Linked DNA regions of Rattus norvegicus. The protein of the gene in region 2 purifies or fractionates together with the protein of the main gene of each other region. This does not show direct contact. Links are inferred from orthologs where the notes say so. Each region holds a gene or a part of one and is shown on either strand. Other genes may lie near its edges.

Region 1 (7,677 bases), on a different chromosome or scaffold from region 2:
GCACAATTGGAGGCATAACATTTACATGTATAAAATATAAATAAATATAAAAAACAGTATTTAAATACATGAAATCAAGAGACCAAGGAAAGGAATATACATTAATTACTTCCATTAAAAAACACACAAAATGGAGTTGGGGATTTAGCTCAGTGGTAGAGTGCTTGCCTAGCAAGCGCAAGGCTCTGGGTTTGGTCCCCAGCTCCGGAAAAACAAACAAACAAACAAAAAACAACAACAAAAAACCACATACACACAAAATAAACCACGGAAAGGGGCAGGCATATGGCTTATGCCTGCAAGCACAGTGCCAGAGAAGCTGAGGCTGAAAAGTGCCTAAGTTTGAGTCCAGCCTGGGCTACATACACCATTAAGTCCTCAAAAACTCCAAACCAGCCAACCAACCAACAGTTTTGTTTGTTTGTTTGTTTGTTTTTTTTTTTTGAGTGAAAAGAACCCCTCCAGCATGCCAGGTGTTATGGCCCGTGCCCTTAATCCGAGGCAGGAATTCCAGGGCAGCCAGGGCTATGCAGAGAAACTCTGTTTTCAAAAATAACACTGCCAAAAAAATCTTCAAAAAGCAAGCCAGCCAAGCAACCAGCCCAGGGTTAACCCTGTCTCTCTTTCTGTGGCGTGCACACATCATTCTTTGTCCTTCTGCTTTCTCTTCACAAACTCTCCTCCTCAAGTCCTTACATGCCTATAGACCTTCAGAAACAAAGTCAATCCAATACTTCCTGTGTTTTCTGTCATACTCTCTAACAGTAAATACTTATTTCACTTATAGTAAGTGCCTTAGTACCCAATGGCCACAGATGAAATGTGCATTTTAAGTATGAGAAAACAAGTGTATTTGCCGCAAAACCTTTGTTAACACAAGTAAAACTTCAAAGTCTAAAATACAATCCAAGATACAATTGTGAATTGAGAATTTCAATCAGTTTTCTGAATTGCTTTTTAAAGATTATTATTACATGGCATGAATGTTTTAACTGCATAGAAATGTGTGTGCTTGATGTCCAAAGCAGAAGAGGATATAGGATACCCTGGAACTTGAGTTATGGATGTCTGTGAGCCACCAGGTGGGCACTGGGAACAAAACCTGGGTCCTCTATTAAGAGCAAACTCTATAAAAACAAGTATTCTTAATGACTGAGTCATCTTCTCAGCTTCATTTATCTGTGTGTTTACATGTATCTGTGAGTATATACATGTGTTTGTGTGCTCAGCCATGTTCCTGGAAGCAGGACGGGACTTTGGCACTGGAGCTACAGATGTTTGTGAGCCGCCTGATATAGGTGCTGAGATCTTGAGCTCTGGTGTGAATCACTGGGCAACAGTCAGGCACTCTTGACTACTGAGCTATCTCTCCAGCCTTTTAGGTAGCTCTTTAATGCTGTGTAACCTCCCAAAGCTGACTAGATGATGGGCCTTGGAGTTTAATGAGGTATTAGCAAGGGAACAGAAAAGCACATTTTCCAGTGTCCTGGGCCCACACACCACTGCATTTTCTTTTAAGTGGGTGACACATTAAATGAAGAGTTTAAAAGCTGAAGAGTACCCTACAAGATGACATAGTGTAGAAATTTGTATTTTGTTTTTAACTATACAGTGTCTTCAAAATAAAATATTTGCAGAAACCTGGAGGGTAGAGCAGTAGGGAAGCTGGGTAGAGGGACTGCCCTGAGTCTGAGCAGGCAACATAAACACCCTGTTTCAACCCACAACAACAACCACAAAAACGTTTATGCAGGAACTCTTAGAACAAAGTTTTTTCCCCTAAGACACCCCAGCAGAGCAGTTATAAAACCATGAACTAAGTCAAACTACTTTTCCTATTTCGGGTAAAGAAACAAAGGTCTCTAAGTGTTAAGTACCTTGTCCTAAGTCATCAAGGTTTTAAGGATGTTTAAGAGTTAGTCCTAGAAATAAGGGTTTATTAATACAGTATCAAATTCTTTAAAGTAAATTTGTACCAATAAAAGAGTTCTTGATGAAAAAGTATTTTGTTACATCTATATTCAAAGATCTATATTCAAAGATAACTTTCCCCTAAGCTGATGGCAAGTGACTTCAGATTCTTGTGGCACACTTAATCAGAGTGATACTTTTTTTTTTTTTTTGGTTCTTTTTTTCGGAGCTGGGGACCGAACCCAGGGCCTTGCGCTTCCTAGGCAAGCGCTCTACCACTGAGCTAAATCCCCAACCCCCAGAGTGATACTTTTGACACACTCCAAGAATTCAAAATTCATTCAGTGCTCCTTTGATTTTATTTATATATATATATTTTTTTCTTTTCTTTTTTTTAAAACTCCAGGTCTTTATGCAAAATTGAGGGTGATTAGAATTCAACTGTCTGAGGGCTGGAGAGATAGCTCAATGGTTAAGACACTGGCTGCGTTTATAGAGGACCCAGGTTCGATTCAGCACCCACATGGTGGCTCACAGCTGTCTGTAACTCCAGTTGCAGAGGATCTGACATTCTCTCCTGGCCTCTGTGGGCACCCGTTGGAGGCAAATCACCCACACACATAAAATAAAAACAGACCTTAAAAAAACAAAACAAAAACAAACAAAACAAAAACCCAGTAACTGAGATCACTTGCAATAAAAAAACAAGAAAATTCTGTTTCTGATAAACATGGAAGACACCAAGTCTTCCCATTTACCATTTTCTCCAAATAGCCCATTCTATCTAAACAAACCTTTTTTCTTACCTGAGAATTTGGCTGGAATGCAGCATGGGGTGTTGAGTGTTTTTGTAAATTTTCTAGCATTAGAGCCTGGTATAAAGAAGAGCAAAAATCAGAAACCAGGAGGGGGAACAAAAAAGCACTCCAGATCTCTACCTCTCCCACAGCCTTTTCACTAAATTACTTAAATATACATTTATACTACATTCCTTTCACAGAGCCTAAAAGCGCTTTATTAATATTGTTCTCATTCATCTTCATAAGTCGCTTAAAGGTAGCCATGGTTACTGCTCCCAAGTATACGGATGTAAAATACAGGCACACAAAGAATCAGTGACCTGGCTATGTCACAAAAAAATCAGCAAAAGTGGCAGAATCAGAACTAGAACCCCTGTTATTGTCTGTAATTTTGACTAGGAGCCACTTTTAAATCTGGTAATACAGGCAAAAAAAATTACAAGTACTCAAACAAGTTTCAAATTACATGAAACCAACACTAGGCTGCTAATTTAGATTTGACTATTATTTGATTTTCAGAACTAAAACTACTTAAATGAACCTGCACAATTTCCATCAGTGTTGACACCCAGACAAATCAAATGTACTAAAAACTTCACCGAGAAACTAACCACAGACCTTGTAACCTGTGGTCTGACCTAATCCACACCCACCCACAAACTGTCAGCTTCGGGATAAGCAACGGTCTGTCAACTCAAAGCCTGAACTGACCGAGTCCCTATCAGTATTATGAGCCACGTACCCTAATGAACTCAAATTACACTAGTCCTTCTCACCTTCCTTCCCTCCATTTACACCAAACCAATACACAGTATGTATACCTCACGACAACAAGCTCATTCTCACTGCTCAAACCGATACAAAATCCCCAGCCTAAAGTAATCTGTCTCACCTCTCGCACCAATATTCACCAAATTCTTATCCAGACTGTTTCTCGATTCCCTATAAATTAGACACCCGTCTCTGACAAGTCCTTCTATCAAGGTTTTCCTTCATCTAAGGTTTTAATCTAGTCAAGCGGACATTTTTTACCCTATCCAAAATGTACTACTGCAGACACAGACACCAACCCCATCCGCCCAACTGTATCCCTAACTCGGACACAGCCCTGCTCGCCCCCTTAAGGCCAGCCACACCGGTGGTTGTAGAGGGATTTAACTCCTTCTGCAGCGCATGCGCCGAAAACACAGACACAAACAAGGAGGGGGTGGGGGAAGAAGGAAGGAGCTTAAGACACTCCGGGAGAGTAGCGCGCACCCTCCCATTTTGGGCTCGCGCTGCTGCCGTTAAGGCGGGAACCGGCGTTATCTCTATTCCAGCGCCAGCCACACCAACCACCGTGCGCGTGGATCTGCAGGCTCGCGCTGGCGGCCTGAGAGAGCTCGCGCCGAGCCCGGACACTGCGCCTGCGCCGCAGCGGAGACTCGTCTCTACCAGGTCCGCTCCCCTCCGACACCTCGGCAACGCTGACTTCTCACCCCTTTGAGCCGCTTGACCAGGGCACTCTTCTGCCCGCTCTTGGCTAGGCCTCGCTGCTCCAGTGCGGCCTTCAGGTCGGTCACCCGCAGAGCCTGAAGAGGCTTCCCGTCCAGAGTCACCTCCTCCAGCTCCGCCATCTTGCGTGAGGTACTCGGGTCCGTCCCGACGGCTTCGGGCATCTTCGGTAATTTCCGCCAACGCCCTTCGAACGTACCGAACTGGCCCCGCCCACTGCCATAGTCTACCCCTCTATTACCGCTCAGAATTCCCCGGGTTCCTCCGGAACTGTTCGGTCGTTTCCGTCTCCACATCGGTACCAATCGGCTTTTTCCATCTGCCTAGCGGCCGGCTCCTCCCATTTTACTTTCAGGTTCGTTTGTTTTCGTCTTGCCGAGGCTTTGAATCGAATCTATTCGGAAGCCCTCGAATCTGGCATACCCATAATCGGAGATATTCGGCTATCTCCGGACTTGAGGGCTGAGGCGCTGGGGCACTTGGGTACTTGGGGCTGGTTCCGGACCGGAAGTGCGTGGGTTACTGGGGCTGGCTGTACTTAGGGTTTTCCGGAAACATGGAAGAGACTCGGGGAATTGGAGCAGGAGCTGAAGCACTCTTGTGATCTCTGGGCGCCCTCCAAGGGGAAAAGGGAGGTAAGAGGAAAAGAAATTTCTCCTAGGCCGGATAAGACTTGGTGTCTGAATGTTTTCTTTTGGGGAACCCTTCTGCTTCCTGGCGAAATCTCTGTGGTCCCCATCCTCTATATCCCAGCCACTCGGTCTAAGAAATGCTTTGTCCTGTGTGGCTAAGGAATAAGAGACCTGCTGCTTCCAAACGTGGGAAAAAGTAGCATTGTGTCTTTGATCTCAGACAGCAAATTTATTAATGACATCGAATTTAAGTTTACAGTGGAAGCCATGTAAATGTAAAAAAGCCTGGGTAAATAATTCCCTTTCTCTGAAAAAGAGAAGTTTTAGGAGAAACTTCTCCCTGTAGGGCCACTTTGAAACTGGCAGTCACCCTGAACCGGGACTTAGAACTGACGTTTAGGTATTCTTTTCTTCATGGATACAAATTTTCCAACTCGGAGAAGTAAGAACAGGTAGAAATTTAGGTCCTAGAGAGTTGAAGGTTTTCCTTGTTGGAGATACAAACTGTAGGACTAAAGTATTTTGGAATAAGTTGGCTGACACTTGCATCCATGATGCAAAATGAGTGGTACTTGTAGGCATAAAGCTTTAAGGAAAACTGTTGAGAGACACGTGTGCATCCGTATCACACTTTTTAGGTTACCTAAGTCAAGAAAGAAGCAAAAGGACTTTCTTCAGAACTTTAATAAAGTGGCTTCTGATTTTCTAACCCTTACCTTACCTTGAGACAAGAACTTTACCTAGCCTGCTCCAAAATTTACTAGTGTGGTAGAGAATTTAATAAGGGGGTCATAGAACATAAACATTTTTTACAGGTTTCAGAGGTGGTTCATACACTGTACAGTAGGTTCTTGTCTCATGACCACCCCCTACGTCCCACACACACACACAGTGGGGAACTGTGGGAAAATCAGCATTTAGGTTGGGACCAGTTGCTTGTACTTTGAACAGAAGGTTCTTGCCTCTTGTCTCCACTCCCAACACACAGTGCATGTAACTGTGGAAAAATCAACATTTAGGTTGGGACTAGTCGCTTGTACCAAAATTTAAAAAGCTGTGCACATTAATTTTAGAGAGAACAAGCAAGACATGTGTTTTCTGTTTAGGTTTGTGATCAGTTCTTACTGTGTTCCCAGGCTGGCCTCAATGGCTTGTTTTTCCTTATTATTTGTTTGGGTTTTGTTTTTTTGCTTTTTTTTTTTTTTTAAGATAGGGTTTCTCTGTGTAGCCCTGGCTATCCTAGAACTCATTCTGCAGTCCAGGCTGGCCATGAACTAGAGATGTGCCTGCGCGTGCCTCCTGAGTGCTGGGATTAAGGGCATGCTCTGCCACTGTCTGGTTCGTTTTTATTATTTTGTGTATATGTGTGTCTGTCTACGGGTGTGTGCTTGTCTCATGGAGTTCACAGTTCAGCTCAGGAGCCGAAGCTACAGGTGCTTTCAAGTCACTTGACATGAGTGCTCTGGAGAGCAGAAAGTGAATTTAACTTTGGAACAGTTGTCTTCCTAGCCCCTCAATTGGTTGTTTTTAAGATCATTTATAAGAAGTAGGTGGGGGATATAGTTCAATTGGTAGAGTGCTTGTTTAGTTTGCCAGGTTCTGTCTCTAGCATCACAGAAATGGTATAGTGACATTTCACAGTTCATGAAACTAGTGTAGCCTAGGCTACACGAGACTGAGAGGCTTATGGGTAGGTGACATGTCTGTAATCTTCAAGGCTCAGGCAGAAGATCTTGAATTTGAGGCCTGTGAGATTTTTTTCTAAAACCCAAGGTAGCCTGGGAAAATGATTACTCTTGATGCAGAAACCTCTGCCCCCAAATCATTCAAACCAAGGCGTTCAGATCACCTATGAAATTACCAAGCCATCAAGGCTATGTGTACCTAAAAAGCCACCCAGTGTCTGAAAGGTGTCCCTTTAAAGAAGCAGTATAGACAGTGTAATAGTAGAATTTGTGGGGCTGGAGAGATGGCTCAGTGGTTAAGAGCACTGACTGCTCTTCCTGAGGTCCTGAGTTCAATTCCCAGCAATCACATGGTGGCTCACAACTATCTGTAATGGGATCCAATGCCCTCTTCTGGTGTGTCTGAAAACAGCTACAGTGTACTTATATAAATAAAATAAATAAATCTTTTAAAAAAAAAAAAAAAAAAGAATTTGTAAGTGTGCCGACAAGCAGTAGGTCTAGACATATGATTGGTAGCCTCAGAAGAGTGCTGGAGTTTTGCTATACGTGCTTGAAAATGCTGAACTTACAGGTTTTGATATAGATTCTGTGGTCACTGACAATCCAGAGGAAAACACCCAAACTGGAGTCAGATAAACTCACATGTGAGCTTGTCTGCCACATTGAAATGATTCTCACTAAAAGCTGTTCCTGAGCTAAAAGAGGAGGCTACAAAGAAGAAAGGACATCCCAGAAGAGACTGATGCAACAAAAACTTCCAGCATGTGAATAAATTTAGCATCAAATAAATGTAAATAAAAGTTAATGTGCTGGAACAAAGGCAGGAAGAAGCACTGGTCAGGTAGGGTATTTGTTTTTTGTTTTTTGGACCAAGAGTCTCAGACTGTCCTAGAACATAATGTGACTAAGGCTGATCTTTTAACTCTTGGTACTTCTGCCTCCACCAGTTCTGCCATGTGTGCCACCATGCCGGGCTTGTGTTTTTTGTTCTTTCATTGTTTTGAAATAGGGCCTCACTCTGTAGGCTAGACTGGCCTGGAACTTACTTTGTACCTGTGTAGTCCAAGTTGGCCTTGAATTCTTGGCAGTCCCTCATCTCGGCTTTCTCCACGGTGAGATTATAGGCCTGAGCACCACACCTGGCTTTTAGAT
Region 2 (7,141 bases):
CTATCAGAGGGTACAGCCTCCAGGCTACTGTTACTATCCATTTACTTAGAGGGCCAAAGCTATTTCTCAACATTCACTACTCTACATCACAGAAGTTCTACCCGATTTTATCTATTTTAATCTTTACTACCTTAGAATACAAAGCGCACATAAGTGGCTTAATCTAAGCCTGCAGGACAAAGAGACCTTTATACCCAAATTCAGCCGGCTACCACTCATTTCACCCCCTTTACCCTGATACCCCCGAACCTCAAATTCCAGGGATTGGGGGTCAGATGAAGCATGTCATTTTATTTCACAAAGACTGTACAAAATCCCTTATAAAACATGGGGTAGACACCACCTGGTTACGTCATTCTGCCCCCCATCCGACTCCACATGAGGGGCAGATGAGGTTGAAGAGTGTAAGTAGTAGTATATACATGGCAGGGGTTGAATCGATAGGTACAAGTTCTGTCATATTTACACTATTTCACATATTCACAGGTATAAAGGAGCCAGGGGCTGGAGAGGGGGCGAGTTCTGGCTCTGTTCTCTTATATAAAAAAGCACCAGTGTCCTGGACTGGACACCCACTGCTACACAGGGAGCAGGGGGCCCAAAGCCTGATTGTCACCGACTGATATCCCGACTGGAGTCCCACAACTTGGTGTTGGGTGGCTCAGTCCGAAGGCAGGCGAAGAAAGGGTGCTGAAGGGCTTCACCTAAGGTCAGCCGCTTAGCAGGTTCATACTCAAGCATGTTTTCAATCAGATCGAAGAGCTGGTGGTGGTCCTCTGCCTCTGAGGTCAGATACCGCTGGTGGAGGGCAGGAAGAAGGTAAGGCAGGACGCCTTACAAAGTTATCTTTATTTCCTTCTCAAGACAGGGTCTCGCTGTGCAGCCCAGCTGTTCTGGAACTATGCACTGCAGCTGACTTGGAACACCCACCTCAGATTCCCAAGTGCTGGGATTTCAGGCCTGTGCCACCATACAAGTCTCAGCTTCCTTTAAAGCTCCGTTTGCATGCAATTTGAAAGCTACTTTATCGCAACATTATGGCCATTTCTGATATTACAGCTCAACCTACCTTTCCACAATTATTCCTTCTTTTTCTAAATTTTACTTGTATAGACTTTTCAACCTCATGAATCTTCCTTAGCTCCACATTAAAATTTAAGCTTTTCAAAGGTAGTTTATTTTTTTCTGTCCTTAAGAAACCAGGCCATTGCTTCATCTGGCTGTCTCTATGTGACACTACCTAACCTCGGCTCTGTGAATCCTCTCTGCTGTCCGCTGTTGATCAAACTGTCTTCTTTCAATGTTTCTCCCCCTCCTGCCCTAACCTCCACTTACAAAATGCATTCCAGGGGCAAACCACCCTAAGAAAGAACAACCTTTAGATCGTGGACAGTATTTCTCCCTGGCCAGGCTCACCCGTAGTGGTTTGCAGTTCTCACGGACGTAGCGCCCAGCTGAGGTGTTCTCATCCCAATCCAGGCGACCCCGATAAAAATATTTCTGTTTTCTAAAGGGGAAGGGGAGGTTGGTGCATCAGAAGGTTCCACTTTGATAATATCTGTTCCCTTGTTTACCCAAGTGAAAGTAAGTAGGAGCTAGGGAGGTATCAATGGAAAAAAGAAAGTGGCGTGTGACAGACAAATTCCGAGGGAAGAAGAGCTCAAGTGCCTCCTGCTCAAGCGTCACCTTGTCTTTCTGATCATCCGAGAGGGGACAGGACCCAGGATCCTTTCCATCATGGCTAGATGCTCTCTGTTGTCATGGGTCTGAGAAACAAAGACAGAGCTGAGTGTAGGACTCATCAAGGCCCCCTGGGGACCAGTTGCCAGATGGACAGTGTGGAGTACTGAGCAGGCATGGCCTCTGCAGATCAGGAAATCCAGCAGCCCAGTATTATCCCACCACTTACCTGGAAGAGGGTGAAGCCGACGTAGTACTCGAAGATGATACAGCCTATGCTCCACACGTCGCACGGCTGTGACCAGCCCAACTCTGTGCAGTGAGGGGGAGGGAGAGGTAGTGTGATGCCTAGGATACGCCCCCTCCTCACACCACTGCACACTGGGCAGTCCTGAGCTCCCTTACCCAGGATGACTTCTGGGGCTCGGTAATGGCGAGTGGAGACAATGGTGCTATGGTGCTCATGGTCAAAGGTGGCACTGCCGAAGTCCACCACCCGCACAGCTGTGCTCTTCACACTGCGTTCATCTCGTTTCTAGGAGCCAAGCAGACGGGAATGAATCTCCTCATAACTGACACTCAGAGACTAAGCTGCTTCAGAGTCTGACAAATATAGCCTGTTCCCATCTACCAAGGAAAATTAGGCTCCGAGTACTTGGTTGTTTAAAAGAGGATTTCATTATGTATCCCAGGCAGGCTTTCAACCTGCAGCAATTCTACCTCAGAGCCTCCCAAGTGCTGGGATACAGGCATATGCCACCACAGCTAGCTCTCACAGTAGTGCTGTAAGAGCAGGAAAGGAAGACTAAGAAATGATACAGAATAGTGTGGAAGCCTCTACCAGACGACTAGAGCCAAGTGTCTGGGGTGCTATTCTGAAAATCTGTACTGTGTAGCAAAGGGTGAAGAGGATCTTTGGAGCTGAGACCTCCAGCAGTCAAGCAATTGGGAGTTTTCCTACCACACAGAAATGCACATCTCACAAATGGAGTGTGAACATTTCCCAAATTATCTTTCAAGTCCTGTTAAATTGCTCCCTTTTGACTTATCACCGCGGCTCACTGGTTTCCCAGCTGGAGCCAGACAGGGAGAAATTAGTAAAGGGGAGAACAACAAAGAACTAACCAAACGCCAAGTGGCCCATTTGTCTGCCCCTCTGGACAGAGGGTAGCCGCTGTCCATCTTACCTTCTCTAGATTGTAGGTGAGTTCGTAGTCTGAATTCACAAACAGAATATTTTCAGGTTTGAGGTCCGTATGTGTCAACTTGTTATCATGGAGGACTGCGGGGAAAAGGCTAGATCAGGCTTGATCCAGGTGGCTAGTACTAATTGCCAGCAGTTGACCCCTTATTGAGTGCTAAGGACAAAGCTAGTCAGGAGGCAGGCCCAGACTCTACTGGGGCTGCTTTCTGCTCTCCAATCAAATAAAATGGCTGGCCTAACCTCTACCCTTAATAATATAAAATGCACACATGGTTCATCGGATAGAAAAGCAGCAGTGTGCCACAGGTGGGAGTTTTTGTTTGGTCTTATGATTGATCTATGTGACTGCCTAACATTTTTAAAACTGCATCACTGTGCCGATGCAGAGGACCTACTCTAAATTCTAAAGCTGGTGCCCCAGCTGAATGATCTGGTGTTTTCCCAACTGCTTTGTGAAGAGCACCTCATTAGACAAACCTAAGACTAGAGTTTTTAGAGTACGAGTACTTCTGTGTTTGTTGTACAGCACTTCTCCAAAGCAGAAGGGATGAGGAAAAGACACTAAGTGCTGTCAGTGATGGTAACAGGTGTGTGAGTGAACTGACTGCTTAGGGCCATGCCTAGCACACAAGTACACAAAAGAGGTCTGAAGGAGGGAAGGGCTGCCCCAGAGTTCGCCTCAGCCCACCCCACTCACACTTGACGGCCTGGCAGAGCTGGAAGGCCATGTGGCGCACTTGGTGGATGGGGTAGGGCAGGTAGTTGTTGTCTTTGAGGAAATCGAAGGTGCTAAGGCCCAGAAGCTCAAAGGAGATACACATGTGGCCATGGTAGTCAAACCAGTCAAACATCTGGACACAGAGGCTGGGGAGAGATAGGGGGAGTTGGATGTCTAATAAGTTCCCAAATCCCGTCACCCCACCAAAAGGAAAGACAGAACGGCTGTTGATTCAACAGTTGTATAAAAGCATGCTAGCTAATATGACTAATTAAGGTTAGGAATGTAGTTCAGTTGGTAGAGTGCCTACTTAGCATGCAGAAGGCCCAAGTTCAATCTGCAGCTTTCCTCATAACAACTATGATGGCATGAACCTTAATCTCAGCATTTGGGAGGTGGAGGCAGAAGAATCCTAAGTTTAAGATTATCTTCAACTACACAGTAAGTCTGAAGAAGTTAGCCTGGGTTACATGATACCCTGGCACTTAAAAAAACAAAATACCCCCCAAAAAACAATTAAGATTGTCAACAAAATTCAGGTAATCTAGAGAATGACAAAAAGGAAGAACCAATGAACCTGCCAAACTCTCCCCAACATATTTTTGTAACATCCTGAATCGTTCAAACCTACTCCCTATAACAGGGGTTGTAACTCAGGAATACAGCACCTCCCTGGCATGTAAGAGGCCATGTTCTTATCTCAGCCCTCAAAACAAGGAAAACAAACTCCACTTGTCAGACAGAGGAGGGTGGTATCTGCAATCAGGGCACGCAGGAAACTAGAAGCAGGAGGTTCACCATGAATTTGAAGTCAGTTTAGGTTATGTAATATGTTCCTGTCTCAAATAAATTAAAAAAAAAAAAATCCCAAAACAACTATTTGCTCAAGAGTTATAGCATGAAATTCTAAACAATATGGATTCTCAGTTACCAAAGTTATTTTTGTTGTCTGGGTTTCACTCAAGCACAGTCTGACCTGGAACTTCCTATGTCCTGGCCACATCCTGGTCTCAAATTCATGAGCCATTACATTCCGGCCCCATCTCCTGAACTTTAGTATCAGCCACTGTGGCGAAGTTTATACTTCACTGTTTTGTTAAATCTTATTTGGGCTAGGGATGTGGCTCAGTTGGTAAAGTATTTGTCTAAAGTTTAATACCTGGTACCACATAAAACTAGGTAAATTTCTATAATTGTAGGTGGAGGCAAGAGTTCAAGGTTATCCTTGCCTTTGGCTACAAGAATGAGCAGAAGCTAGCCTTAGCTAAATGAGGTACTGCCTCAAAACCAACAAACAACCTTCGCCGTCACAATCTTACAATTTTAGCAGATGAATAGCATGAGATCAAAACTGTAACTGTAGAAACACCCACAGTTCTAGAGCCTGGTACTCCTCTTCACTTAGAACCAAGTTCTGGTGCATTCCAGGCCAGTGTTCTACTACTACCAATTCCATGATTTCTTTCAAAGACTTTATTTTTAATTATGTGAGTTAGTTATTGCACGTGACTGCACATTTCTGAAGAGGACAGAGGTGCTGGATCTTCTGGAGCTATTTTTTTGTTTTGCTTTTTAAAGATTTATTTATTTATATATAAATCTTTAAACTAGTGTGTGTGTGTACACTGTAGCTGTCTTCAGACACACCAGAAGAGGGCATCAGATCCCATTACAGATGGTTGTGAGCCACCATGTGGTGGCTGGGAATTGAACTCAGGACCTCTGGAAGAGCAGTCAGTGCTCTTAACTGCTGAGCCATCTCTCCAGACTCCCCCCCTCCCCCTTCTGATGTTCTTTCTTTCTTTCTTTCTTTCTTTCTTTCTTTCTTTCTTTCTTTCTTTCTTCCTTCCTTCCTTCCTTCCTTCCTTCCTTTCTTTCTTTTTCTTCCACTTCTAGACAGGGTTTCTCTGCAAAGCTCTGGCTGTCCTGGAACTTACTCTGCAGACCAGGTTGTCTTCAAAGTCAGAGATCTGCCTACCCCTGCCTTTGAGTGCTGAGATTAAAGGCAAGCACAAGCAGTGCCAGGCTTTCCTAGAGCTATTTTGAACTTCTATGTGGATGCTGGGAACTAAACTCAGGTCTTATCCTATCATTCCTAACTGCTGAGCAATCTCTCCCCTCATCTCAAATTTCTGATTCTCCTGCTTCATTCCTGAACGAACTGTGGCTCTGTGTATTTGACTGGGGTTTGAACTTAGGACCCTGTGAGAGTTGGTTGGTGCTCCATCCATGGGTCACAATCTCTAGAACCATTTCCAGTGGTCAGAAAATGTCTTACGGAAATTTACATTGTCCAGGCTGTAATCCTTCCAATCTGCCTTTCCTCTTCTTCTGAATGGCTGGAATGACAGGCATGCACCATCTAGAGTGATGCCCACCAATGCCAGGGTCATTCTCAGATTGCTGATATCGTCGTAATACAAACAGGAGTAGATAGACTGTCATAGGACTATCTTAATGCTTTGCTACTCTCATGATCCAAAGTTTAACGGGCTGGATGTGGCACATGCCTTTCCTCTCAGCTCTCAGGAGGCAGTGGCACGAGGATCTCTGTGAGTTCGAGGACAGCCTGCTCTACAAGCAGTTTCTAGGCCAGCAAGGGCTACACAGAGAAAAGCATGCCTAAGAATAAGACAGACAGACAAGACTGGATGTACTCGCCGCCCGCCCGCATAGCCCCAGTAAAGCCTTCCTTGTGGAGAGAGCCCCTCGGCTTACTTCTTGTTGTCAGGATCTTTCTCATTGATTTTCTCCAGCACGTTGATTTCTAGTCGAGCGGCCTCCTTGTACTTCTCCACATTCTTAATGATCTTCAGGGCAACTCGTGCTCCGCCCCTGTAGGGCAACAGGTTTTCATTGGGTTCAAGAACATCTCAGAGGGGTTGGGGATTTAGCTCAGTGGTAGAGCGCTTGCCTAGGAAGCGCAAGGCCCTGGGTTCGGTCCCCAGCTCCGGAAAAAAAAAAAAAAAAAAAAAATCTCAGGTTGAATGCATCAGTGACTAAAGCATCAGACTGAGAACTTCTGCCTGTTTAATCTGTAAACAGATCCGATTCCTCACAATCTTCTAAGCTTAACAGAGGAGGAGTAAGCGGCGGGCCATAGTTACCTGCGATGGTCCACACACTGTACAACTCGGCCAAAGGTCCCTTCTCCTAAGGTGCTTACAATTTCATCTGAAACGAAAGAAAGCAGGGTCGGGGAGAGGGAGGGAGAAAAGGGGGGAATGAGATGAACTGGAAGAAAATAGGGCACAGCAACCTGGGGTGAGGAGATGAAGGAAGGGGGAACAGATATAGATGGCTGCAGGGGAAGAAACCCCTGTGTGACTCCCACCACCTTTAACCCAGGGGCCATGAGAGTTGGGAGTGGACAACAGGTCAGTTCTCAACAGCAACTCAAACCACCCAGATGAGCAACACCACTGAGAAAGGCACAAGAGGCTGTGACCTGGGTTGGCATGGGACATTAGGATGGCTATGGGACCATTACAGGCTATAGGATTGTTACGATTTGGCTTGTACATCGCTCTTGTAGCCAG

What was found.
Region 1: the proteins of Clk2 (region 2) and Acin1 purify together in Homo sapiens (affinity purification with mass spectrometry; 3 studies listed by BioGRID and IntAct, counting the BioPlex papers as one, with this or other methods). This does not show direct contact. The link is inferred for Rattus norvegicus from reciprocal best matches to the Homo sapiens genes CLK2 and ACIN1.

The regions. Positions count from the first base shown.
Region 1 is NC_086033.1:32,112,467-32,120,143, forward strand, and holds the start of Acin1 (apoptotic chromatin condensation inducer in the nucleus), read right to left. Parts: upstream 4,539-7,677; 5' UTR 4,502-4,538; coding exon 4,190-4,501; intron 4,149-4,189; coding exon of another isoform or gene 3,754-4,148; intron 3,743-3,753; exon of another isoform or gene 3,604-3,742; intron 2,784-3,603; coding exon 2,718-2,783; intron 1-2,717. Other genes in the region: C15h14orf119 (uncharacterized protein C14orf119 homolog), read left to right, coding at 3,754-4,148.
Region 2 is NC_086020.1:176,873,543-176,880,683, reverse strand, and holds the end of Clk2 (dual specificity protein kinase CLK2), read right to left. Parts: coding exon 7,125-7,141; intron 6,777-7,124; coding exon 6,710-6,776; intron 6,438-6,709; coding exon 6,321-6,437; intron 3,749-6,320; coding exon 3,582-3,748; intron 2,963-3,581; coding exon 2,868-2,962; intron 2,216-2,867; coding exon 2,086-2,215; intron 2,078-2,085; exon of another isoform or gene 1,993-2,077; coding exon 1,910-1,992; intron 1,767-1,909; coding exon 1,687-1,766; intron 1,508-1,686; coding exon 1,417-1,507; intron 799-1,416; coding exon 613-798; 3' UTR 272-612; downstream 1-271. UniProt on the Homo sapiens protein: Dual specificity kinase acting on both serine/threonine and tyrosine-containing substrates. Phosphorylates serine- and arginine-rich (SR) proteins of the spliceosomal complex.